Linked DNA regions of Elephas maximus indicus. The protein of the gene in region 1 interacts with the protein of each later gene in a biochemical or structural test. Links are inferred from orthologs where the notes say so. Each region holds a gene or a part of one and is shown in the gene's direction. Other genes may lie near its edges.

Region 1 (6,994 bases):
TGTTTTATAGCTTGATTGTGGTTGTTGTTACATAGGTATATCTATTTGTGAAAACTCATCAAATATTATATTTAGATCTGTGTAGTTCATTATGTAAAGTTTACTTCACTAAAAAAAAAGTAAGACATTTTCTATATTTTCTTAGAATTTACGGTCTAATGAGATAGTCAACAAAAGAATATCTCTAAAGTATGGACATATTGCTTCTGGAATTAAAAGAATAATATAAATACTAATAAACCCACATCGGGGAATAGGTAGAAGAGAATATCAGAGCATGTAATGTTCGAGTTGGATCTGGAAAATCGTGTGTACATTTGTCGGGTGAATGGTGGTAGGTCATTCTATGCAGAGAGAATGCAGTGTGCAAAGGCACATGGAATTAATTAATTGGAATGTGTGGAGCTAAAGATGAAAAGGAGTTTGGGGCCCAATTGTTATGGGCCTTTTGCACTAAGCTGAGGCATTGGACTTCCATGATACAATCCAGTAGAGATTGTTTTAAGCAATGGAATGACGCGATGTGTGTGCACGTAGGATAGCCTGGAGTAGGGAGAAATTGATGCTGTTGTCTTGGGCTCTTACTGCCTTTCGAATGAAACCTCCCTATTCATAGCCCCTACTTGAATGTGTATTTTTGTTGTCTATGAAGAGATGACCAAAATTGTCCACTGAATGACCCTGGAAGTTTTTTCTGAGTTAGCTTGCAATGGGTTACCTGCAACTACTGCTTTCTCATACTGGTGGAGGCTGGATATGACCTTACTTCCCATATAATATCCCAAGACTCTCAGCATAGGAATGCAACTCCGCAAAGCCACTGCCGCCCATGTCTAGACCGTTGGACCCTCACTTACAAGGACATGCTCCCCTACAAAAAGGAATAACTACTTAGGGTCCCTTTCTCTGGAGTACAAAAATGGTACATCAAGATAGTCCAGATACACCTCTCTGTAGGAGATAAGACTTCCCTGATATTCTCTGGAAGTCCCTTTTCCCAACAGTACTTCCAAACATCGAACAAAGCTGATAGAACAATATGTAGCCACCTAACACAATGGCAATCAACCTATAGTTTGTCCACTACTTAACAACTTGTCATTGTTAGTTGCTGTCAAGTGGGCTCCAACTCATGGCAACCGCATGAACAACAAAACAAAATATTGCCTGGTCTGCGCCATCTTCATGATCATTGGAATGCTCAAGTGAATTGTTGTGGCCACTGTGTATTTTTAGTGCTTTCCAACCTAAATGGCTCATCTTCCAGCATTATGGTATATCAGACAATATGCTGTTGTGATACATAGGGTTTTCATCAACTAATTTTAGGAAGTACATCTCCAGGCCTTTCTTCCTACTCTGTCTTAGTCTGGAAGCTCTGGTAAAACCCGTCTACCATGAGTGACCCTACTGGTATTTGAAAAAAATGATGGCATAATTTCCAGCATAATAACCATAGCAATATGAAACCTACCACAGCACAACAAACTGACAGGTAATGGCTACAACTTACAGCCTGGAGTAAAATAATGAATTGTTCCAATGAGATTCTTTTGCGGATATGAACTAGGGAATACTAAAAGGCTTGGCCATTTAGCATCGGGGCAGTTACTGAAAGAGTATCAACAGAGTAGAGAAACGGCTGTGGCAAGTCTAAAACCTGTGTAACAGAAACTAGGCAGGTGCTAGAAAGAGGAGGGCAGGGCCAGTGTGCCGAAAGAAGCAAGGAGGATGAAAAGGAAAGTAAGAGAGTAGCCAGGCCCCAGACTTCCCTTAGTTTTTTGGAGGGGGGAGCAGCTTCCAAGTTAAGTTTCAGGTCCCATTAATTGATTGTTTCTATCATTCTTCCAAAACCTTACTCCCCTGGACTTTTTTATTTTAAGTTACTTGAGTGGATTTCTGTTCCTTGTTCTTTGTGAGCTATGGTAAATATTGATTTTGGCTTCCTGGAAAGCTCTCCCCACTCTCACCTTCTAGTAACAGACTCTGACTCCTGGCCGCAGGGCAGGAAGGCAGAAATGTCCAGTAGGCTTTTGGAAATGTGAGACTTAAACTGGTGTGAGAGAACGGGCTGGAAAGAGATTTTATAGTCATCACCATATAGATTAAAACAAGTAAGGAAATAATATATAGAGAGCACTTTCAATATATCAGGCACTATGTTGGGCACTTTACATCTATTAATGCCAATTAATTCCTACAATAATATATCTAGAGATTATTATCTCTACTGAAAGATGAGGAAACTGAGGCTTAAAGCATTTAAATGGCTTGGCCAAGGTAGCACAGCTGGTAGGTGTGAGAGTGGGAATTTCTTCCCAGAATCAGGGGTGGATTATTTAATAGGCAAAGTAAGCACAGAGCTTACCTCGTTTACCAAATCATCTGTAGTGAACAATTTCATTTTTTTTCACAACATCAAAGATTCTGCTTCTAGGTGCGACTGGCATCTGTCTCTCTCCTAATCCCACAGCACCTTCCTACAGAATCAAAGTCTCTTCAGATTTACAATCCCTGACAGGAGCGATGACCCAGTAAGCAAAGCAAGCATGGGTTTACACGGGGTTTACTTGCGCTTACTTGCTAATCTGTAGTGAGTAATTTCGCGTGGGTTTCACCATTACAGATAAGTAAATAAGCACAAGTAAGCCCGTGCTTACCTTGCCTATTGGATAATCTGCTCCTACCCGTAGTAGTGCTTCCGTTACAAACCCCATGTTCCTCCAGCCACCCTGCGCTGCCTTCTAGTTCATGGAATTAGGAAAGGTTTATCTCCTTGAAATATACTGACAGTGAAGAGGATAGAGGCTTGGAACTCTGGGGCACAGTGACAGAAAGGAAACCCTGGTGGCATAGTGATCAAGAGCTACCAAGGATACAAACAGTATATTTGGCGACTTGAGAATAAACTTTGCTGGACTAGGATGGGAAACCCTGGTGGCATAGTGGTTAAGTGCTACGGCTGCGAACCAAAAGGTCGGCAGTTCAAATCCACCAGGCACTTCTTGGAAACCCTGTGGGGCAGTTTTACTCTGTCGTATAGGGTCACCATGAGTCCGAACCGACTCTCACGGCAACGGGTTGGTGTTGTTGGTTAGTGACAGAAAAGGGAAAGTCAGAGAAGACCCAGCTATCTTGGGGCTATATATAGAAGCCAGAGGCAGTGAGCCTTTTGAAAAGCAAAAGGATGGCCAGCAATTAAATGCTGCAAAAACATCACGAAGAATAAGTAGTGAATTGGATTTGGTACTTAGAAATTCAAGAGTGATCCTGGTGAAAACTAATTCCACTAGACTGAGAGCAGACGCCAAGTTTTAATGGTTACACAAGTCCCTAGTGTTGAGGGAAGGAGTGTCAGTGGACTGTTCAGCAGGTACTGTAATACGAAGGGAAGGAACCAATGGTGAGGTTGAAGGGAAGAATTCAGAATTGAAGGGGTAATTTTCAAGGAGGAGCTTGGGAAAAGTACCCAGACCCATTGCCGTATGCTGAATTAGCATTGGACGTAAAGGGCGCCTTTTTTCTCTGACATTAGGAACTAAGTAGGTAAGTAAGAAGTCATCTAATAGGCACGAGTTGTGCATGTGTGGAGTGAAAAATCGAGGCAATTCATATATTTTAGAAGAGTGAAATCTGTGACGATAACAAGATCAGCTGTAGCACATTCTGGCTAATGCATTAGCTTTCTCAAGATTTTTAAATTTCTGTAAGTGCTTTACTGGCTCATTTGTTAGCCCCCATTTTACAAATGGAGAACTCCAGATTAAGTGACTTGCTCCAAGTCAAACTATAGAGACTAACTCTAGAACCCCAGGGTTCGCTGTTGAGGTCAACAGTTAGTCACCCTCCAGCGCCTGGGGGGCAGCCTGGGCAGCGGAGCAGCGGGCGCAGAACTACACTTCCCAGTGTGCCAGGCGGGGCGGGGCGCGGGCAGGGAGGACGCAGGCTCCTTCCCAGAAGCAAAAGCGGAAACAAAAGAGTCTCGCCGGCGTCCCCGCCCGCACACTCGCACACTCGCGCTCGGGCGCACACTGTACAGGCACAGGCGCGCGCAGCAAGCCAGCGAACGGCGAGCCGGGGACCCACCGGGCTGAGCCAGCCAAGCAGCCAGCGAGCCGAGCCCGCGACCATCCCACGCCCCCGAGCCCGCAGCCGCCCCCCGCTGGCCGGTGTCCCCGCCGCCCTCCCCGACCCATGGCGCTGAAGCGGATTCAGAAAGTGAGTGCCCGGGCCGGGCCTGCGGTGGCGGGGCGGGCATCGGCCCCCTGCCCACGCAGACCCGGCCGAGGGTCCCGAGAGACGCGCCGGGAGGGCACGGGATGGGAGGGTGGGCCGGGGAGGAGGCCAGGGGTCGGCGGCGCCGGCGGGGTCAGCGAGCAGCGGACAGGTGAGGTGGGAGCCCGGGCAGGTCCCTGGTGCCTGGAGATGCCTGGGGACAGGGAGCCCCCTGCGCGCTGGCTCGGGAGCTGCGCCCAAAGCCGACGGCTGGAGATCCTCCTCGATCTCCAGACCTTCCCAAAAACCTGTGCCTCACGGTCACGGCTGGATTTTGCCCTACACCGGGCTAGTTTTGGCTCCTGTCACGCTGTTTTCTCCACGCTGTTTCTTATGCCCGGCCTCTTTTATGTTCTTGCTTCTCCGGGCTCCTGGAGAGGGCTAGGAAGGTGTGGTGGGCCTGCAGCCTTTCTCCTTTGAGCTGTTGGATTTGTTCTTTCTTTCCTCTGCGTTTGGCTGTTGCTCAGTTGCCCGAATGGGCTGGAAAAGCCCATTTGGGGGCCGAGAAGCCAGTCTTTTCCTCCTGCTCCTTCTATTTTGGTACCTCTGCTGCTGCCACTTGAGGTCACATAGCTGTAGTGAAAACATAGTTGCTGGTACACAACAAGATGACCTCCTGGCTGTGATTCACGGTGACTCAAGCCAAACAGGTTTTTTTTTCCCATGATAAACTTATATGTAAAGTTCGAGACACAACAGAAACTGACACAAATTAAATTGTTTGATGCTTTGACACATGGGTATAGAATGAGGAAGAAATGTGTATATTCGTTTAACAAATGTTTACCCATCCCTGTTCTGTGCATGGAGTTGTCTTCACTTGCATATTGTTCATTGCTACTGTTTCAAATGTGAATATGTTACTGAACTGGGGTTTGGGCGTTTTCTTTCTGTTCACTTTTATTTCTTGTTGGGTTATTGGCCTGTTCACTAACCCGAGTTTTAGGTGTTATTGTCCCTGTTAGGAACACTGCTAATTTATTTTTAAACGGGGAGTGCATTCAGCAAGTTAAGCCAACAGACAGCGTGTTTCGTAAATGAATGTTTATCAACTTTTCGACCATAAATCACTACAACAGTAGTATATGTTGGAGTCTCTGGGTGGAGCTAATGGTTAAGGCACTCAACTGCTAACGATAGGTTGGAGGTTCAAGTCCACCCAGAGGTGCCTTGGGAAGAAATCCCTGGAGATTTACTTCTGAAAGATCAACCACTGAAAACCCTGTGGTATACAGTTCTACTCTGACACACATGGGGTCACCATGAATCAGAGTTGACTCAATGGCAGCTGGTTACTAGTTATATATGCTAGAGCAGTGATAGAGATATACATATTGTATCTTGAGTCACATCCTTAAGCCCAGAGGACAGCAACTTTTAGACCCAGCCATTTTTCTGTTGTTGTTCAGATACTAAATCTGTTAATCACTGTTATTGATTGTGCATTTAAGGGTCATCTCACTACAAAACATATAGCAATCAGCATTTATTGAGTAATATGTTTTCAGATTTGAAGATGATGTAATTATACATTTTTTTAATTATACATTTTTTTTTTTCCCATATAGAGAACCCTAATTTTGAAACTCTAGTCAGCACCTTTGTCATACCTTACACGGTAGTGTATTGGTTCATATTTGGATCAAATACATTTCCGAAGGAGGTTTTAAAACTCAGTAGTCTTCTTTCTTAGTTGTGAGAATTTTTCACATGACATTGCATGTACCGTAGCTTTTAACTACGGCAGAATCACAATAAATGGATACTCAAAGAAATAGGGGTACTATTTGTAAATATCACACTGGGTAACTCTTGTCAGTTACCATACTGAGCCAGTGTTTTTGGCTTATATTTATATTTTTAATATGGCATATGCCCACATCATAATTTTAGTAAATATTAGTTATTACTAGTTTATAACAAAGTTGTCCTCTACAAAAATATTATTTACATAGAATTGAGGTCAGACCAGTGTCAGATTGTTATTTTGAAGGAGACGCTTGGGGTCACATAACATCGCATCTCCATGTGTCTGTCTTTGGCTTCACTTTTCTGTTATCAGACAGATAAACTTTCACAAATCTCCTTTGTATTACTTGCATGTTCAAACCATTCCCTCAAACCTGGGGGGAATTATTTTGATTGATTGCCTACTCTTCCTCCCTTCTCTGCCCACCTCCTGGATTAGAAGCTGATTCAGGGTAAGATATGCTGTTTGCCATGAGGATGGTCACAAAGCACTCTTAGAGGCCATCACTATAAAAAAAAAAAAAAATTTGAATCTTGCATATTCCCGTAAATGAAGATGTTTACTAACTTGTGACCTTTTCTTTTTAAGCCTGTTAAAGTAACACTGTCATAACTTTTAGGTCACTGGGTTGTAATTTTCCTTACTGTATCAAAAGTGTCAGACTTTAGAACTGTGCAGAACCTCAGAGAACCCTCCAGTGTACTAAGACTCAAGAGGACAGAGGCAGGGCACAACTTCTAGGGTAGTGTACCAGAATTACCTGTAGGATATTTCCAGACTGGCCTCACGGCTGTAAATGGAGAGATGTTGAATCCCTCAGATATGCTGGAATGGAAAGAAGGTTGAGAACCACTGATATTCTAGTTTCTCTTTATTTGTCAAAGAAGGAATTTGAGGACTGGCGTGGAAGAGTGCTTTGCCCAAGGTTAATCTCTTGCATGATTTGACATATTTCAGAATGCTAAAAAG
Region 2 (7,058 bases), on another chromosome or scaffold:
TATGGAGACCCTGCAGCTAGGGAAGGGGTCCCGAAATGCAGAGCCGAGTCTGGCCTCTGCCCCAGGAGCTGGTGAGAGTAACGTGGAAGAGTGAGAGCTGAGTAGGACAGCAGGCGAAGCCCTGTTTCCCTGGGTTCTTCTCCAGGTGTCCCCATTCCAGTTGCCGTCAAGTAGATTCCAACTCATGTTGACCCCGAGTGTGTCAGAGCAGAACCGTGATCCCTACAGTTTCTCATGGGTGATTTTTTTAGAGCTAGATCACCTGATCTTTCTTTCTAGGCACCTTTGGGTAGATTTGAACCTCTAACCTTTTGGTGAGCAGCTGAGCACACAAACCATTTATACATCCAGGGACTCTAAATTTCTCTACAGTGGCTGCCTTTGAGGTGCTGTCTTAGTCATCTAGTGCTGCTGTGACAGAAATATCACAAGTGATGGCTTTAACAAACAGAAGCTCATTCTCTCACAGTCTAGTAGGCTAGGGAGTCAGCTCCAGGGGAAGGCTTTGGTCTCTGTCAGCTCTGAAGGGAGGTAGGTCCTTAGTCATCAATCTTCCCCTGGACTAGCAGCTTCTCTGAGCAGAAACCCTGGGTCCAAAGGACATGCTCTGCTCCTGGCTCTGCTTTCTTGGAGGTAGGAGGTCCCCATGTCTCTCTGCTCACTTCTCTCTTTTAGATCTTAAAAGAGATTGGCTTAAGACACTCTCTAATCTTGTAGATCTCATCACTATGACTGCCCTAATCCATCTCATTAACATCATAGTGATAGGATTTATAACACGTAGGGAAATCACATCAGATGACAAAATGGTAGGCAGTCATACAATACTGGGACTCATGACCTAGCTAAATCGACAGATATTTTGGGGGGACACAATTCAATCCATGACAGGTGCTTATGATCTGAGACGAACCCTCACCGGGATGAGTCAAAGGAGGTGAATCACAGGTGTCCCCTCCAGCTGGCCCTGTCCACGCCTGGACACCCCCTCCAGCCTTGGGCTCTGTTCCTCCTCTCTCCTCTCCCCAGTGATCCTCATTTATTGCACTGAACTCTTGTACATCACTTCATGCCTGTTGTCTTTGTCATCTGAAAAGTCCTAACATACAATGTGTCACAATTGAACTCACCTCCTTACCCACAATGTCTTCATCACTCTAAAATGTCCTGCACGGTCACTTCCCACCCCCATCATCCCTCCTGGCTTCTACTCTCAAAAGTCACAGTAGCAAAGACCTCTCTCTCTGGATTTCATGCCTCAGTATAGGACATATCATTCCTCGTGTCCAGACCATCCTTCAGCCTTTCCTCCTTTCAGCGGCGTTTCCCTTCTTTCCTCTTTCCAACTGCCCAATTCTAACCAACTGGGTGCATCATATCCTCGTCCAGTTCCAGCCTTCCCTTTTTATTAGCTGTCTAGGATTTATGGCCATCTCTAATAAATGTGTGGCCGCATAATAGAAACAGAACATGTGTTTTGTATGGTTCATCTGGGTTTGCTTAGAGGCGTTTAGTCTGGCTCATGAAGTTAGCATGGTCAGATCCACGACTTCCACCACTACTACTGCTCTGTTCCTGTCGATGGCTCAAAGAGCTTTGTTCTCTTCACTCTTTTCCTGGCTTCGAGGGCCTTCCATCTCTGCCAGATCAAACTTCATCTCTTCCATCAAGCTTTCCCTCACTCTATCTGTCCTCAGGCATGTCTCTGTACCCTCATAGCACGTTACGCACTGTCCAACAAATAGCTCAGGTTTGCATCTAGCCTCATGTGACCCTGTGTCTATGTTTATTTATTTATGCATTCTTGTTTCTCCCATCAGACTCCTTGAGTCTAGTTACTCCCCACCCAAACACAAGGCTTGGGATAAGGAGTGAGCAGATGTTGAGAGACCCAGTAAGAGGTAGGAGGCTCTGAATCCCAAACCTGACACAGTAGGTGTCCACCACTAGGTAGCTGTGGTGTTATGAATTGAATTGTGTCCCTGAAAAATATGTGTTGTAAATCTTAACCTCTATACCTTAGGTTATAATCCCATTTGGGAATAGGTTTTCTTGGTTATGTCAATGAGGCAGTATTAGTGTAGGGTGTGTCTTAAGACAGTCTCTTTTGAGATATAACCTTAAGGGTAGTCCCTGACTTAAAACAACCAGGTGGTAAGTTGGTTCTGATGTAAATCAAATACCTTTTTCTTTTTTTAGTTTTCATTATTGTTGTACTTTATTATCAATATCTTTATAAATATGATCTTCAAACATCTGCCTGTGAACATCTGAGAAGAACATCAGCAAATTGTGTACTTCAACTTTGTGTGTAGTACCAAGATATAAAAAAAAAAAAAAGACTTCCTTTAAGTGTGGTACATCACAACTCATATACATCCTAAATTGGAGACTGCCTGTATAAAAGAGATTAAACAAACAAGGAAGCAAGCAGAGATGGGGAAAGAGAGATGCCAAGCCACATGAAGATCACCCAGGAGCAGAAGCTCAAAAGAGCAGACAAACAGACAAAGTCTTGTTCTAGAGCCAGCACCCTGAATTCAGACTTCTAGCCTCCTAAACTGTGAAAAAATAAATGTTCACTAAAGCCACTCATGTGTGGTATTTCTGTTATAGCAGCACTAGATAACTAGATAACTTTTTTTTTTTTTTAGATAACTAGGATAGGTGGATAGGTGGGGAATCAGACCATTCCTGAGGCTCTCTGTAACTCAGCTTTTTTTATCTTTAAAATGGAGATGTTGTCTGCTTTGCTTGGGAAAACATAAAAATATGAAACAGTTAACATGGTTAGCTGCTAGCCAAAAGATTGGTGGTTTGAGTCCACCCAACGGTGCCTCAGAAGAAAGGCCTGGCAATCAACGTCTAAAAAACCAGGCGTTGAAAACCCTATGGAGCACAGTTCTACTCTGACACATATGGGGTCACTGATCAGTTGGAACTGATTAGACAGCAGATGGTTTTTGGTTTTAGCAGCAGAGCGACCCTGGTTTCAAAACTGTCACCATCACATAATAGCAACATGACCTTTAACTTACTTCACTTCTCTGGACTCATTATCCCTACATTAAAAAAAAAAAAAAGGTGTTAAGCTACATTATAGGGTTCTCAAAGTGTGGTCGAGGGTCCCTAAGATTCTTTCAGAATGCGAAGTGCAAACCTGTTTGCAAAATAATATTCAGAAGCTATTTCCATCTTTCACTCTTATTTTCTCCTGAGTGTACCGTTGTTGTTGGGTGTCCTCTAATGGTTTCCAACTCATACTGACCTGATGTGACAAGCAGAACGGCCCCACAGGGTATCCTTGGCTATAATCTTTATAAAGCAGGTTTTTCTACCGTGGAGCCACTGGAACCGACAACTTTCGGTTAGCAGCCCGGTCGCTTAAGTTTTCAAAAGGCTATATGATCATCACTCTAATAATATCTTGTAGTGGATTTATTACTGTTATTTTTAAACGAATAAATATATTTAATTTTTTTCTTAGTTTTAATTTCTTAAAAGTAGATAGATATAACTCACATTAAAAAAAAAAGGGGGGGGTGGGTCTTTAAGGTCCTAATAATTAAAGAGTGTAGAGGGATTCAGACGCCAAAAACTCTGAGAAGCAGCGAACCGGATTTCTAGAAGATCTTCAAGGTCATTTATTCACTCAACAAATAATTGTCAAGCGCCTACTATAAAAAAAAATTTTTTTTTTTTTTACTATGGCCAGGCATTTTTTAGACACCGAGGATATAAGCTGGTGATGAAGACTCCAGACATGGCCCCTGCTCTGATGTTTATTTTGGGAGACAAGCTTTGGAAAGTGGTCCGTTTAGTGAAGGCCTAAAACAGGGCACGTGGTTCCTGCAGTCTGTGCGCCTAACGTGACACGGTAACAATAGGACTGCCCGACCCCCCCCCCAGTCACCTGGCGGGCTCCCCCGCTGCCCCAGGGCGGGGAGGCGGGGACTAAGGCCCCACCCCCGCGCCGACGAAGAGTGACGTCACCAGACCTCGCCAGCCAATCGTGGGCGGCCCCGAGCGGAGGCCCGGAGTAGCCCACGGCCTGCGGGTGGCGCTGTGGCCCGTCGGGCGGCCCCACGGAGCCGCCATAGCAGTCCTCCTCCGGCGGCCCAACGTCTCCGCCGCCGGCTTCGCGCCGCGGTCATGGCCGACGTGGAAGACGGCGAGGATTCCGGCGTCCTCTCCTCTCACTCCGGGAGCGCAGGCTCCAAGTCGGGGGGCGACAAAATGTTCTCCCTCAAGAAGTGGAACGCGGTGGCCATGTGGAGCTGGGACGTGGAGTGCGATACGTGCGCCATCTGCAGGGTCCAGGTGATGGGTAAGCGCTGCACGCGAGACGCGGGCCGCGCTGCGGCCTCCGCGGGCGGCCGGGCGGGCCCGAGGCCTCGGAAAGACCCCTGCCGGCGTGGGCGGGGGTCGGCCTGCCCCGGGGCGGTGGGACCCGGGCCACGCCGGTGCGGCTGCTGGTCCCAGGACGGTGGTCGCCTTCTCTGGGGCTGCCGGGTCGTCCAGCAGGCGCCCAGCGCCGGGTGCGGGGTTGGGGGGAGTATTCTAGCGAGGGAGGCCGGCAGTCAGCGAGTGGAAGAACAAACAAAAGTCGTTTCAAGTGGTTGTTGTTAGTTGCAGTGGAGTCCATTCAGACTCGTGGCGACTTCATGTTTGCAGAGTAGAACTGCTCCATAGAGTTTTCCAGGCTGTGAGCTTTCGGAAGCAGATCGCCAGGCCTTTCTTCCGAGGCGCCTCTACGTGGGCTTGAACCGCCAAACTTTAGGCTTGTAGTCGAGGACCAGGAGAATAAAATCGGGTGACTTAATGGGAGCTGGGAGGAACCGCCTCGGTTTGTGTGCCCAGCCCCAGTCCCATCTCTAAAAGCAAAACCGGAAAGGGGTCAGGGTAAAGGCCCTGATTCAGGAGAACTTTGATGGTTCTGGTCACACACCAAAGTGATACTCTAGAGTCATCTTCCACGTGAGCAACGCCCTCCGTCCTGCTCCTGAGAAGCGCAGAAAAGAGAAGTCTTCCCAGACATTGCGTTTCCGGATGAGGGCGAGTCGGATGGAATCGTTCGGCATGAAGGGAATACAGTGTAGTTCAAGAATGTTCGTGTTTCATGGGAATTGAGGACTCTAAGTCCGCTCTTCAGGGACAGTGCTTCTACTCCAATAATAAATGCATGTGGGCTAGAGAGGGAAAACGTGACCTCTGCCCTCCCTTCGCGCCTCCCCCGCCCCATCGTAGAATGCCATTTCCGAGATGTGCCCCCCTCTGACTCATGCCTTTGTGGAAAATCTCTTTCAGAAATACGTCTTAACCTCTTTCTGTGACATGTTCAATAAAAATATTGGACCAAGGGAAACCTGCAACAACTTAATCCGGTTTTATTTTATATGGTTTCGGTTTTAAGGTCTTCGACTACCTTGCAGCAGAGGTGCTGTTTAAATTTAAATGCAAGTTACGTTTGTAAATAGGGCATTTAAAATTACTGTCATAGCACCTTAAATGTTTCTTCGGGGTAGGTGAAAAAATCTGAGGTTTCTATGGTTTGAAAACTGGCTTGTCCTGAAAATGAGAGAATTGGAGAAAATAACTTAAAATTTCTTTTCCTTCAAAAACAAAAAAGAGTAGAACATGGTTATGTTTAATACATAACCTCTATCCGACCAAAACATCACGGTGAAATAAAGGGGGAAAAACATATTTCATGTGCAGTGCATGACTATGAAAAGGTAAACATAAAAAAAAACGTACTTAATCATAAATGAGCTCTCAGAAACAAGTAACAAAAACCTCAATTTATGTCCTCTTTTTTTTTTAGTATGCGTTTTTTATTCATAAGGGCTTGTTTCGAAAAGAATTTACAACACTGGGAATCAAAATGTTACTTTTTACTTTTGAAAAAACTTGATTTTAGACATGATCTGCTTACTTGGATGTTGGATTTAAAAGCATCTAGCTTGTTTGCCTGGAACACCCCTTCACCCCCACCCCTCCCCGCAGATACACACCTTACGTACTAGAATCACAGCTTCCCGTTGAGGTGACATTTTTAACTGATCCAAGCAACTTACACATCTCATCTTTTACAGAACAAGCTTTGCTAAAAATTTTATCCCATAGGTTTCCACTAGGGTAAAAAGAATTTATCTCTAAAAAAGCTGTTTTTTCCCAGAAGAAATTTTTAAAAATAGCAAATGGAAATGGAGAAACCTAAAATAATCAAAGTGCAACAAATAAATTTTACTGGTCTTTTTATAGTAGGTCAAAGTATGGGTTATAAATGGCTCAAATTCATCGTTAACTTTCCAATTACAGCAAGTATTCCGCTACTGCAGGAGTGATGCTGAAGGTTTGTAACAGCTCTACTTCGGGTTCAGGGACGTATTCTAGACTAGAGCTGTGTTTTGTTTATGAGGTGTTAATATCCACTTAGTGGACTGGTGACCCCAGAAAAAGTTTTAAAGACTTCCCAGTCCTTACCCCAGAGTCCTAAAAGGTGTTGCTATTATTGTACTCCTTAGAAATTTGCTGCTTTAGATACTAGAAATATTAAAGGACTTTTTTTCTTTTATCTGAAACTTTAGGAATTTTTGTTGATTTTGATTAATTTTTGATAATGAATCTAAACCAAAGCTGTAAGCATAATCCAAAGATTTTTACTTTGTGCAACAAGCGCCCACTTAATCCCATTTCTTTAATATTTGGAATTTATCTCAGACACATAAATGATGTAGTTTTGATCTCTTGCTCCAAGGTTTCCCGTCAGTCCTTTGTGACTTGGGTAACACTCTCTTCCTGGGTTCCACTCCCCTCCCTTCATCCTGAAAGGAGCAGATGGCACAGTCAGCAGATGCTGGTGAGGGAGAGGAGGAAGTTTGCTGGAAGAGCTACGTGATAAAGAGCTGAAGCAACCCCTTCGTGGCAATATGTTAATTTAGACGTTTGGCTTTACCTTTTGGAGTCTTATTTTCCTAACTGTAAATGAGGCAGTTGGGATCACCAAAGCCTCCCTTTACAGTTGTAAAATTCTCTGGTTCTGTGATAGCGCAGAA
Region 3 (6,915 bases), on another chromosome or scaffold:
GCTATCTCATTGAGGGAGAGCAAGTAGGAGTACATAGCAAGGTGTATATAAATTTTTGTATGGGAGACTGGCTTGATTTGTAAACTTTCACTTAAAGCACAATAAAAAAATAAAATAAAATAAATTTTGTTAATAATAAAAAAATAACTGCTTTTAATTTCTTTCCTTTTACTTCCTTTGGAAACCCTGGTGGCATAGTGGTTAAGTGCTATGGCTGCTAACCAAAGGGTCTGCAGTTCCAGTCTGCCAGGCACTCCTTGGAAACTCTATGGGGCAGTTCTACTCTGTCCTATAGGGTTGCTATGAGTCGGAATCAACTTAACGGCACGGGGTTTGGTTTTGGTTTTTTACTTCCTTTGAGTTACCTTTTTCCAGTTCTTTATTTTAAACTCTTAATTCATTTATATTTAGCATTTTATTTTTTTTAGAAATTTCACGTTAACTTATAAATGTCCCTCCCAGTACCACCTTAATTAATCCCACAAATTGTGATACAGAGGATTGCCTTTGTCACTCACTACTGAATATTTCGTAATTTCCATCATAATTTCCACTTTAAGCCATGTATTAAGAGCTTATGTTTTAGTTTGCAAACATATGAGTGAGTTTTTGTTCGAATTATCTTTTTTGTGTTTTTGCTCATTTTTATTTAAATTATAGAGAATATGATCTGCATCATAGAAATACTTTTTGTCGAGACTTCTTTATGTCCTAGAGGGTAATCAGTTCTTTGAGTGATCCATGCACACTGGAAAACAACACGTTATCTCTTTGTTGAGTATAAAATCCTATGTAAAAATATCTGATCAAGTTATGTTGCTCAAATTTTCTATATCTTTAAAAATTCTGTCTCTGTGTCATCTTTCAATTTCTAAAAGAGGTGATAAAAATCTCTCCATATTGTGGATTTGTCCATTTCACTTGTACTTGTCTTGGTTTTTGCTTTATGTCATTTGAGGCTATGTTTTTAGGGAGGTCCACGAAGTTCATGATCGTCATGTCTTCTTGAAGATTTTTCCTTTTTGACAACATGGAGTGTTCGTCTTTATTTGTTTAATGAATTATTTTACTTTTGTTGTTTTTGTTGAGAATCTATACAGAAGAACATAGGCTGATTCAACAATTTCTACATGTACAATTCAGTGGCGTTGATTACATTCTCTGAATTGTGCAGCCATTCTCACCCTCATTTTCTGAGTTGTTCCTCCCCCATGAACATAAACTCACTGCCCCTCTTTATTTCATGCTTTTTATCTTAAATTTTATTTTGTCTGACATTCCTGTTGTTGGGCAGATGTGAGTTAATATTTTCCTACGTCTTTTATCATCCCTTTATTTCTAGACTTCATTTCATTTTAACTTTGTTTCTTATAATCAGCATACAGCTAAATTTTAAAAAGATACATATGCTGCAAAAGACCTCTTTAAAGTTTTATAAAGCAAAGATGACACTTTGAGGACTAAGGTGTGCCTGATCCAAGTCATGGTATTTTCTATCACCTCATATGCATGGGAAAGCTGGACAATGAATAAGGAAGATAGAAGAATGGACACCTTTGAATTACAGTGACATAATTTAAAAAAAAAAAAAAAACCTTTTTTTTTTTTTTACATACATATGCGGGGCCCTGGTGGCACCAAAAGCTTGGCAGTTAAAATTCACCAGCTTCTTCTTGGAAACCCTACAGGGCAGTTGTACTCTGCCCTATAATGTCCCTACAAGTTGGAATGACTCGTCGGCAATGGGTTTTGCTATATATGTATATATATGAGCTATAATCTCATAATCTCTGTCTTTTAAAGGCTATCTTAATATATTTATATTGCTGATGATTACTGATACATTGGACTTAGCGGTGAGAATTACGTTTGCGATGTAACACACTCAGAATACATGCAGAAGAAATATGTAAAGCAGGATCATAAGGTCCAATACTCCCATGGGCCTAACTGACATGATCTAAGGAGCTAGGGGGTGGTGGGGAAAATAGATCTCCTCTCTAAAGGCATCAGAATTATGGTTATTTTTTCAGTCACCATGCCTGACAAACAAAACCTGTCCAAAAGTTAAATTCTGCTTCCAGGGGCCAGCAGTTTAGGATGTGTATAAACAGTAAATCATTATACAAATGTTAAGATGCTTTAATTCATCCTCAAAGCAAACAAACAGAAAAGCCTGGAGGAATAGACTTTCAGAAATTCTTTGACTTTCAGCAATTGCTATAATTAGGACAACGATATAATTTATTGTGTGAACTGAACATTTTGAGAATGAACGGAGAAGGTATTAATAATTACTCCAGGACAATGAAACCAGGGGCTGTCCCAGACAAATCAGAATGTATCTGGCTATAATCTTATAATCATCTGCAATCTCTGTTTGACCTAATATTGATATCCAATGAAATTAATGGTTACTTCCTGGTAAGGACAGAGGGCAGATGCTGGAGAGAACAGAGGTTGGTTAGAAGTCGGAATCCAGATGAAGACAAGTGGGAAGGAGGAAAGGTTAGGACACAATTGTGTTGAGTTACAGAAGGGAGTACAGATGATGCTAGTTAATAAATTTCCTAGTCAGGACAGAAGGCATAGGCCAAGGCAATTCAGGGATCAGAGAAGCAACAAGAATCAGGAAGAAATACAGATACATTAAACATTGTTATTGTTGTTGCTATGGAGTTAGCTCTGACTCATGATGACCTTAAGTATAACAGAACGAAATGTTGCTGGGTCCTATGCCATCCCCATGACAGTTGATAGGTTTGAGTCCATCGTTGTGGCTATTGTGTCAATCCATCTCATTCAGGGTTTCCCTCATTTTCACCGACCCTCCACTTTCCCAAAGATAATGTCCTTTTCTAGTGAAAACAAAGAATGGGCATGGAGACACCAGCATATTTATGACATACAGGAAACGACAACAAAGGACAGACTGGTTCAGGTGCTACACGGAAGTAAGGATCCATTAGGGTCAAGAACAATGTACAAATCAAGAGAATGGACTTGCAATAAATTTCTTGTTTTCCCACTGGACCAGGAATCTCCCCATGAGAGGGATGGTGGCTTTTTCCTTGTGACTAGAAATTCCCTGAGGTGGCTATCTTCCCTAGTTTCAGAAAACTCTTCAAAGTGAGCAGCCAAAGTACCTGACTGAGGTAAAGAATCCTTCCCTCCTCTCCATATGGAGTCCCTAGGTGGTGCAAATGGTGAACACATTTATCTGCTAACTGAAAGGTTGGCGGCTTGAGTCCACCCAGAGATGCCTCAGAAGAAAGGCCTGTGATCTACTTCTGAAAATCAGCCACTGGAAACCCTGAGGGGGCACAGTTCTACTCTGACACATGTTGGGTTACCACGAGCCAGAATCCACTCTCCAGCAACTGGTTTTTCCTTTCCATGTGCTCTCCCAACATCTGGGCTCTGCAGACAAGAGATGTCCAAAGCCATGGCTAGTGAACCAGCTGAACGGTCCCAACATGTGTGACCTCCAAAGGCCTCACCCAGCCTCTCCACGCCCTGCTGAAACTGACAGGAAGTCTTCTGTCCTGTGGACTTCGGTACCATGGTCTTTTAGGAATCAGTTAACTGCCTTGTATCTTTAATTAGTTCAAGGTTCAGAACAAATTGCCCAACCTGATAAGCAGTATATATCCATTTGATCTCAAGAAGTAGTAAGGTAGATTGGCCCATCTGTTCTCTCTCTTTAAAATATTCTCTACATTCTAATTCTTACTCTTTTTTTATTCGTTTACTCTTTTATCCCCCTTTCCCCCCCCTCCCTTCTCCTCTCCTTCCTTCTCCCTTGCTCAAACCAGTGTCCACAACCCATCTCCCCGCAGCTCAGAGAAACCTTCCTGCAGACCTGGTACGACTTCGTACAGACCAGAAGAAGCCCTCCTGCTTCATCATGGCCAGTCCACAGTTTGTCAGTAACCTGCAGGAGGAAGTGATCTGCCCCATCTGCATAGATATTCTGCAGGACGCTGTCACCATCGACTGCGGGCACAGTTTCTGCCTCAGCTGTATCAGTTGGACACAGGATCCATCAGACGGTTTACTCAAATGTCCCCTTTGCAAGAAATCTGTGAGGAAGGACACGCTGAGGCCCAACTGGCTGTTGATGAATCTGGTAGAGAAAATCCAAGCTATGAGTCCCCTTGAGGCACAACCAGAAAGGGAAGAACCAAGATGTCAGAAGCACCAAGAGAAGATCCATTACTTCTGTGAGCATGATGGGAAGTTTCTCTGTACAGTGTGTCGTGACTCCCAGGACCACAAATCCCACAAAGCCAACTTGATAGAAGAAGCTGCCCCAAAGTATCAGGTAAGCATTTTGGGTCCCTTTCCTGTCTCGCCCATCAGACCAGGAGCTCGGTGAGGACATGGGAATGGTTACTTCTTTCCTCTGGGTTTGCACTACTACCACCCCCGCCCCATACACTTGAGTGGGCAGTTCAGAGTCAGGCAGGGTGGGCACTCTAGGGATCTCATCATCTCTGGCATACCATTTAGTTCAAAAGTCTGAAGTGTTTTGAAGTCAAACCATAATGAAAAATGGAAAAGGCAAAAAATTTTGAATCAGAAGGTTCGGGCTCAAGTCCAAGCTCCTGAGTTTTCCATAAGACATTCAAGGAGTCACTTTACTTCTCTGAGCCTGTCTCAGCTTTCAAATGGGGCCAACAGAACAGAATTTACCTTTATAAGGCAGTCTGATAGAACAAATGAGGGAAATCCTTTATTAACCCCAAGGCACCATTCAGATATTAATTGTAATTATTCACAGATGACACATTCTTCTCCTGTAGGTCACTGAGGCCCCAGATTTCTTCCTCCCTATCATAACCAGCTCCCAGCTCCCCCCAGTCTCACCCACCTTCCCGAGAGATCAGGAGGTTTTGTGAGGCCAAGAGAGCTCCCAGGCACAGCTTAGGAAAATTGTCCTTTCCCCACAGGGACTAATTCAATTACAACTCAAGGACTTGCAGCAAAAGGAGAAGATGATAGTAGAGGTGAAAGCACAAGGCGAACGGAAGATCGATGTCTTCAAGGTAAGAAAATGCTCAGGTGTGGGTCTCTCTGTCCAACGGTCCTTGGAAGCAGATACATCTTCTCTTTCAAGCCCCTAGAATCTCTTATTACACTCACCACCCAGAAAAAGACCCAGTGACAAACAGAGTGGCTCAGAGTGGGGCAGAGTGTAGGATGGGCAGGCTGGAGGTACAGAAAGACTTGAGGCATCATGGTTTAGGATGTGTTCATGCCTTCTCCTCTACCACAACATTTGCTTGTCTGCGATAGCACCTTTGCACCTGGCCTTGCGTTATTAGAGTAGGTCAAACACTCCAGTCTCCTCCACCTGGAGATAGTGATGTAGGGAAAACGGGCTGGTGTTAGCATCAGAAATACCAATTTAAATACCTACTTCTGCCTCTTACCTACTGTCTTTACCTAGAGACTGACTCCCCAGTTAAAAAATGAAGACAGTGTAACTCCACCCAACCTCTTTACCTGTTTTGTGTGTGTGTGTGTGTGTGTGGGTGGGTGAGTGTGTGTGTGAAAGGAGATTATAAATTGAAAATGCAAGATAATTTTAAAGACTCAGGCCCTTGAAGGCAAAAATGATTAAACATTAAATAAGTTACCCTAAAACTGAGCTCATAGTAAATGCTAAAATAAGTTAGTTCTCCTCAACTTTCTTTTTCCAAATCTGCCATGGAACATTGTTCTACATTGACAACGTAAGTGTAAACAATAAAATTGCAAATTGGATGAGATGGGTGAGAGCCTCTGAGGCCATCCTGTCTTCTGAGTGTCCATTCTCCTCGCCCCCAGGCCCAGGTGGAGCATGAAAAACAAAGGATCATCAGAGAATTCAAGCACCTGCGTCAGGTTCTAGAGGAAGAGGAGAAGTTTCTCCTGTTACGACTGGACTGGCTGGCTCAGGAGGGAGAGAACGGGGGTCACTTCTTTGGCACTTCCACTGAGGCACAGCTGAACTCTCTCAATAGGCTTGTTGATTTCCTGAAGGCCAAGCAGCAAATGTCACCCCGTGAGATGCTCTCGGTGAGAATCCCTTGGGGGAGAAGCTGCAGAGAGGGACCAGCCCATCCCTAGTCACAGGTCAGAGCGTGACCACCTGGCAGAATACTGCTTGTTGTTTTTGTTAGTTGCTGTCGAGTTGATTCTGACTCATGGCAACCCCATATGTGTAGAGTAGAACTGTGGTCCACAGGGTTTTGAAGGCTGTGACCTTTTGGAAGCAGATCCTAGGCATCTCTGATTGGGTTTGAACCACCAATCTTTCAATTAGTAATACTGAGATCATCCCAATCATTTTACCTCTGGCACAGCACTGTCCAATACAAATACAATGCTAGTCACATATGTAATTTAGAAATATATTGCAAGCCACATATGTAATTGAACTTTTTTTTTCTAGTAGCCACATTGAAAGAGATAAAAAGAAACAGGTGAAATTAATTTTAATAATATATTTCATATAACCCACTATATCCGAAGTATTATGATTTAAATCAACAACAATACTTAAAAGTATTGATGAGATATTTTACATTTTTTATACTGAGTTTTGAAATCTGGCACACATTTTACACCTCAGCACCATCTCAATTCAACTGCTAAATTTTCAATGGCTGAAGTAAAACGTAGTCCTACCAAATCAATAAAGTTGTGTTTGATGGAAAAAGTATTTTACACTCCTTCAGTTTTTAAATTTAAATTTGTCAAAATTCAATAAGTTAAAAAACTCAGTTCCTCATAGTACTAGCTACATTTCAAGTGCTCAGTAGCCACATGTGGCCTGGCTGCCATATCGGACAGCATGTGTCTAGTTGATGCTCAAAATAAGCGGAGATCCCTCCTGAATTCACCTCCTACTCCCATCAGTGCAAGAAG
Region 4 (7,224 bases), on another chromosome or scaffold:
GAATCACTCGGGGGACAGAGGCTTAGGAGGCCAGCCTCAGGACTAGAAGTCTGAGGCTCCTGCACAGCAGGGAAGTGAAAATTGGAAATCATAATACAGGTGCTAAAAGTAGCCTAAGACTCAAAGTGCTCCCTGCTAGTGCCTCACTAATGAAAAGTGTTTCCAACTATAAACTAAAAAAACAAAATTCAAAACATTAAGGACCAGAAGAAATAATTTTGTCCACGGAACAAAACAACAAAAGGTTAAAACAGTGAGAATTATCAGACAAAAAAAACAAAACAAAAAAACAAACTAATGGACATAAGATGAGTGAACAGAAACAGAATTTATAAAAATCATGGATGAAATGTTGCAGAAACTATGAGATGAACTTTTAAGTATAACAAGGGTTTGTGGTTTTAAAAATAGGTATTAAAAAAAACCCTGAATGAATGAAAAATACTCAAAACCAAAAGCCAAACCCACTACACATAAACAATTTTCATGTCAATCTTAAACAGGATAAAACATGTAAACATATGTGCCCGATTCTGGTCAAATAAAACACAAAACCACAAAATCATCTGACTCAAAGCTACCCTTTAGAGAGACACCCTACAGGATAAAGGTAGAACTCCTCCACAGGGTTTCCAAGGCTGTAGTCTTTACAGAATTCTGTGTGGCCACTGAAACGATTTATCAAACACAGCAGAGAAGTACAGAGTACCATGAGAGGAACAGCTGGTGTCAGCACTGGCAAAAACGTTGGAGGGTGGAGGTAGGTTTGACTTCCACCTCAAAGGAATCACCCTCAGGCCGTTGATGCTGGTAATGATTCTCCAACCCCCTTGTGAAGTTAGAGAAGGAGGTCTGACCCTGACATCATGTCATTTCTACACTTTCCATCTCTTTTCCTCGTCTCCATCTACTTAATTAGGATTTAAATTATTGACCTAGATGATTATATCAGAAATAGTCAGACTTTCTCTCACTTTAAAATTTAAATTTAGGCTATAAAATTCCCTGTAAGAAACTTGTTTTGGCCAATAAAATTCAATGATATACAAGAGGAAGACACATCATCACAGCAAAGCTTTATTCTTAGTAAAAATGTTAAGCTAATATGTGAAAATCTTTGTGTCAATAATCACATTGAGACAATGAAGACTAAAAAAAGATCATCTATCAATATTCACAGAAAATTAGTATTCAGTATACATTCATAATAACTACTCTCAGCAAAGTAGTAATAGAAAACAAGTTCATTAATAAAACGTATCTACAAAATGACAAAGAGCTCACATATATGGAAATTAAAAAGCACCACTTGCCCCATGTATAGTAGAGTCAACATTCTGGAAACCTGTTCTAACACAATACAGTACAAAGCTGGGTGAATTAGAAGATTCAAAAGAAGGAGAAAAAATAAATGGAAACAAAGGGCTGCCATGAGTTAAACCAGTCGAGCGAAAATAAAAGCCAGCATCACTCACTGGGCAGCGGCTTAAGAAGCCAGCCTTACGACTAGCAGAAGTCTGGGGCTCCTGCACAGCAGGGAAGTGAAAATTAGAAATCACAATAAAGGTGCTGAAGTGGCCTAACATACAAAGTGCCTCCTGCTAGTGCCTCACTAATGAAAAGTGTTTCCAACTATAAATGAAAAAAAAAAATTCCAACCACTAGGAACCAGAAGAAATAATTTTGTCCATGAAACAACATAACAAAAGGTTAAAGCAGTGAGAATTTTCAGACAAAAAACAAAACAAAACAAGCAAACAAAAAACTAATGGACATAAGATGAGTGAACAGAAACAGAATTTATAAAAATCATGGATGAAATGTTGCAGAAACTATGAGATGAACTTTTAAGTATAACAAGGGTTTGTGGTTTTAAAAACAGATATTAAAAAAAACCCTGAATGAATGAAAAATACTCAAAACCAAAAGCCAAACCCACTACACATAAACAATTTTCATGTCAATCTTAAACAGGATAAAACATGTAAACATATGTGCCCGATTCTGGTCAAATAAAACACAAAACCACAAAATCATCTGACTCAAAGCTACCCTTTAGAGAGACACCCTACAGGATAAAGTAGAACTTCTCCACAGGGTTTCCAAGGCTGTAGTCTTTACAGAATTCTGTGTGGCCACTGAAACGATTTATCAAACACAGCAGAGAAGTACAGAGTACCATGAGAGGAACAGCTGGTGTCAGCACTGGCAAAAACGTTGGAGGGTGGAGGTAGGTTTGACTTCCACCTCAAAGCAACCAGCCTCAGGCCGTTGATGCTGGTAATGATTCTCCAACCCCCTTGTGAAGTTAGAGAAGGAGGTCTGACCCTGACATCATGCCATTTCTACACTTTCCATCTCTTTGCCTCGTCTCCATCTACTTAATTAGGATTTAAATTATTGACCTAGATGATTATATCAGAAATAGTCAGACTTTCTCTCACTTTAAAATTTAAATTTAGGCTATAAAATTCCCTGTAAGAAACTTGTTTTGGCCAATAAAATTCAATGATATACAAGAGAAAGACACATCATCACAGCAAAGCTTTATTCTTAGTAAAAATGTCAAGCTAATATGTGAAAATCTATGTGTCAATAATCACATTAAGACAATGAAGACTAAAAAAATGATCATCTATCAATATTCACAGAAAATTAGTATTCAGTATACATTCATAATAACTACTCTCAGCAAAGTAGTAATAGAAAACAAGTTCATTAATAAAACGTATCTACAAAATGACAAAGAGCTCACACATATGGAAATTAAAAAGCACCACTTGCCCGATGTATAGTAGAGTCAAAGTTCTGAAGGCTGTTCTGCCACAATACAGCACAAAGCTGGGTGAATTAGGAGATTCAAAAGAAAGAGAAAAAGGAATGGAAATAAAGGGCTATGATGAATTAAACCAGCCGAGCAAAAATAAAAGCCAGGATCACTCAGGGGACAGAGGCTTAAAAGGCCAGCCTTAGGACTGGAAGAAGTCTGGGGCACAGCCGGGAAGTGAAAATTAGAAATCACAATACAGGTGCTAAAAGTTGCCTAAGATTCAAAGTGCTCCCTACTAGTGCCTCACTAATGAAAACTGTTTGCATCTATAAACGGAAAAAAAAAATTCCAGCCATTAGGAACTAAAAGAAATAATTTTGTCCACGGAACAAAACAAAAGGTTAAAGCAGTGAGAATTATCAGACAACAAAACAAAACAAACTAATGGGCATGAGTGAACAGAAACAGAATTTATAAAAATCATGGATGAAATGTTGCAGAAACTATGAGAAGAACTTTTAAATATAAATAAGGGTTTGTGATTTTAAAAAGATATTTAAAAAAACCTGAATGAGTGAAAAATACTCAAAGCCAAAAATCAAATCCATTACCCATAAATAATTTCTATGTCAAGCTAAACAGGATAAAACATGTAAACATATGCACCTGATTCTGGTCAAATAAAATCAAAACCACAAAATCATCTGACTCAAAGTTACGCTTTAGAGAGACACCCCATAGGACAGAGCAGAACTTCCCCATAGGGTTTCCAAGGCTGTAGTCTTTACAGACTTCTGTGTGGCCACTGAAACCATTTATCAAACACAGCAGAGAAGTAGAGAGTCCCATGAGAGGAACAGCTGGTGTCAGCACTAGGCAAAAAGTTGGAGGGTGGAGGTAGGTTTGACTTCCACGTCAAAGCAACCTGCCTCAGGCTGTTGATGCTGGTAATGATTCTCCAACCCCCTTGTGAAGCTAGAACTGCCCCATGGGGTTTCCAAGGCTGTCGCAAATGGCCACATCTTTCTCCCGCGGAGCTGCTTGGGGTCTGCTGGTGGGTTCCCATTAAGGAAATCTTTTGGTTACCAGCCCAGAGCTCAACTACTGCGCCACCAGCTGTCGTGAATGAAAAATAGAAGCGATATAAAACCTCAAAGTGTTTTGATTATATCCACCAAAGGAGACAATGCGATAAGCGGAACTTGGGACGGGGGGACGCATCTGAGACTGACAAAGCGCCGAACAGGGCCAAGGCCGTGAAAATAGCCGAGGCGCCGCAAAACTATCACGGTGGAAAAAAACCGGAAGTCTGCCGAAAACGCCTGCAGTAGAGACTAGGTAAAGCAGAAGCGGCGCCACCACAGGAAGTGTCCGCCTCGCTGGCGAACGGAAGTACGTAGGAACTCATAGTCATAGGGAGCTGGGAGCAAGGGGGACGACGGAAAGTGACGGACCGCCTAGAGAAGAGAACCGGCGGCCCAAGAGGCCGCCCGGCCTCTCGCCCGAAGGGAAGGCTCGCCGGGGTGGGGCATCCTGGTAACTTTCAGCCCCCTGGAGGCCATGAGAGAGTCTGCAGCTCCCTCAGAAGCCCCCAGGACCCCCGGTGCCGAGGCAGGTGCCGGGGCGGAAGGGGGAGATGCCCGCGGTTCCGGCCTACCGGCGTCCGCGGCCTCCGGGGAGCCTGCAGAGGCACTAAGGTCGGTCCCTAGACGTGCGAGAGGCTTACGGCCTGTCCAGAGTGCAGGGGGAGGGGCCGGGCCCTTACGGGTGCCGGACCGCGGCGTCGGAACCTGGACAAAGCTAGTGACCTGCAGGTATCATTTACATGGGTCGTGCAAGCAAGGGGAGAAGTGCCGCTACTCCCACGACCTCTCAGGTCGGCAGCCGGCTAGCCAGGGTCCCGATTCGGGGCTCCGGGACCCTGCAGACGGCGGTCCTAGCGCGGCTGCGGAAGTGGAGGCCTCGACTCCGGAAGTGGCGGGAGCTTCCCCTGGTACTTCCGGTCACAACTTGCCGCTGATTGGCTCAGCTTTTGAAACGGAGAGCGGGAATGCCGGCGGCCAAGCAGCCGGAGCAGTTGCGGCAACCTGGGCGGATGCTGTTGAGTTTGTTCCGGGGCAGCCTTACCGGGGCCGCTGGGCGCTGCCTGCCCCGCAGGCTTCGGCACGGATCTCGGTGGCGCCAGAGGAACCGCTCTGCCAGTACGCTGCCGTGGGAGAATGCCCTGATGGGGAGAACTGTATGTATCTCCACGGAGAGGTGTGCGACATGTGTGGGCTGCAGGCTCTGCACCCCGTGAATGAAGCCCAGAGAGCAGAGCACGTAAGGGCCTGTATAGAAGCGCACGAGAGGAATATGGAGTTCTCTTTTGCCGTGCAGAGCAGTATGGACAAGGTGTGTGGCATCTGCATGGAGATTGTCTATGAGAAACCCAGCGCCGGCCTTCGCCGCTTTGGCATCCTCTCCAACTGCAACCACTCCTACTGCCTGAGGTGTATCCGTGTGTGGAGGAAAGCCACACAGTTTCAAAACAGGGTCGTCAAGTCGTGCCCACAGTGCAGGGTCACCTCCCACCTTGTTATTCCCAGTGAGTTCTGGGTGGAGGATGAGGCAAAGAAGAAGCAGCTGATTAAGGACTACAAGAAAGCAATGAGCAAAAAGCCTTGCAGGTATTTTATGGAAAGCAGAGATCGGTGCCCTTTTGGGAACCACTGTTTTTACAGGCATGTTAACCCTGAGCGTCAAAGAGAAGAATCCCAAAAGCAGGATGCTGGAACTTCCAGCACTTACTGGAATCAGCTTGTGGAGGGCAGCGTGTCCTTTAAGATCAATGAAAAGGAGCTTATCAGGCTTCGCCTGGCCAAGGTGTTGTTTAAGTATCTCCTTTCCACGGGGAATTATAAAGTCCCCTTTTCTGATTACCAGTGGGAGTTGCTTCTTTTTGAGCTTGAAAAGTATTTCAATTTGATTCCGTAGCATCGTGCTGTGGCATGTGGTCTAGTCTGTAGAGGCCCTCTTCTCTGCTATTTTGCCTGTGTTCCTTTTACAGACCCATCTGTCACTTTCAGGGGCTGTTGTGACAGTTTTTGTACAGTGTCCCTTTCTGTTTTCTTACCCATTCCTCTTATCTTTCCCGCTAGGATTATGGTGTTTTGCCGTGTTAAAAAGTAACAAAAGTCTTTAAAATTACTGTTCAGTGAAATGATTATTGCTGTCAGTTTATCTTGTAATCTCTTTTTTCAACAAGATACACTCAGTTCTAGGTTAGTGTTTACAGAATTTCTACACTCATTTTGAAGTCTCTCAAGAATAACTGTGACAGGGTAAAAGGAGGAGTCTTAACTGACCAAATGGATCATTGTGTGATCTTGTGGCGCAGCTGCATATTTTTCTTTGTTTACATGCCTGTCCCTTCTGTCATCCCTTGTCAAGTGCACTGATGATATTGCAGTTATTTTGTGGTTTCGTGTTTTACTTGAATCAAGTGCATATGTTTACATGTTTTTATCCTGTTAACTTGAAGTGAAAATTATTTATATTAGAAAGTATATCTTTAAGAAATATATATATGTCTGCATGTATGTCTGTATGAAAGTAGTGTATTTGAAATATATATTCAAGAACATACATGTGAACATAATTGTGTTTACATAATAAAATAAATGCAGAGCTGTAAGCTGAAGAACAAAGAGCAACAGGATTGGCTATTGTGTGAGTGCAAAGTGTGTGAATAGTCCTTCTGTACCGTACAGGTGTCAGTTATTAGCATCTAATGAAACAATTCAAGTGAAGTTGGCCAAATGTGACAGACACAGATCTTAAAGGACATACGAAGCATGACTTTGGCAATTAGAAATGCATGTCCCTGTGGCGTTTAGTGTCATCTCATTGTCCTCTGTAATAGCACAGTCATGACCTCAGACATGCAGTTCTTTGTGTTCAATATTTTATCCCTAGCCTTTCCAAACAAGGGACTTTTGACAAAAGTTTTAAAAATATAAGTACAAGATTATAAAGAGGAAAGTAGAAAAATAAAAAGTACTGAAATCGTTCAGAATACAGGAATGGAATGATAAAAGAATGAAGTTTAGGACAAAAAGCTAAATACAATACTAATACAGAAAATTTATAACATATCTTAATTAGGCTAACTGAAAACAGTATAAAACTAAAAGTCAGATTATCATACTTGATGAAAATTGGGATGAAACTATGTTGTTTACACAAATACAAGCATACAGAAACACTGGAAGTAATAGGATGGGAGAATGTTAACCAAATGCAAAGACAAAGTTAATGTTATTCATGGACAGAAATGAAGAATGCTATATAAACATTAAAATTACAGTTTTCCAGGAATATATAGCTTCTAATTTTGTATTCATTTAATAACATAGCCTAAGACATATAAATAATTAAAAAAATAGAAAAATCCAAAACCTCAATGGACAATT

Evidence for each region.
Region 2: the proteins of UBE2D1 (region 1) and RNF7 form a complex in vitro, tested with the Homo sapiens proteins (11 studies listed by BioGRID). The link is inferred for Elephas maximus indicus from reciprocal best matches to the Homo sapiens genes UBE2D1 and RNF7.
Region 3: the proteins of UBE2D1 (region 1) and TRIM31 form a complex in vitro, tested with the Homo sapiens proteins (4 studies listed by BioGRID). The link is inferred for Elephas maximus indicus from reciprocal best matches to the Homo sapiens genes UBE2D1 and TRIM31.
Region 4: the proteins of UBE2D1 (region 1) and MKRN3 form a complex in vitro, tested with the Homo sapiens proteins (2 studies listed by BioGRID). The link is inferred for Elephas maximus indicus from reciprocal best matches to the Homo sapiens genes UBE2D1 and MKRN3.

What each region holds. Positions count from the first base shown.
Region 1 is NC_064834.1:29,993,535-30,000,528, reverse strand, and holds the start of UBE2D1 (ubiquitin-conjugating enzyme E2 D1), read left to right. Parts: upstream 1-3,976; 5' UTR 3,977-4,194; coding exon 4,195-4,218; intron 4,219-6,994.
Region 2 is NC_064841.1:17,958,353-17,965,410, reverse strand, and holds the start of RNF7 (RING-box protein 2), read left to right. Parts: upstream 1-4,045; 5' UTR 4,046-4,152; coding exon 4,153-4,327; intron 4,328-7,058. UniProt on the Homo sapiens protein: Catalytic component of multiple cullin-5-RING E3 ubiquitin-protein ligase complexes (ECS complexes), which mediate the ubiquitination and subsequent proteasomal degradation of target proteins.
Region 3 is NC_064819.1:89,764,179-89,771,093, reverse strand, and holds the start of TRIM31 (E3 ubiquitin-protein ligase TRIM31), read left to right. Parts: upstream 1-3,907; coding exon 3,908-4,324; intron 4,325-4,952; coding exon 4,953-5,048; intron 5,049-5,832; coding exon 5,833-6,063; intron 6,064-6,915.
Region 4 is NC_064831.1:99,037,853-99,045,076, forward strand, and holds MKRN3 (probable E3 ubiquitin-protein ligase makorin-3), read left to right. Parts: upstream 1-4,215; 5' UTR 4,216-4,330; coding exon 4,331-5,746; 3' UTR 5,747-6,732; downstream 6,733-7,224. UniProt on the Homo sapiens protein: E3 ubiquitin ligase catalyzing the covalent attachment of ubiquitin moieties onto substrate proteins.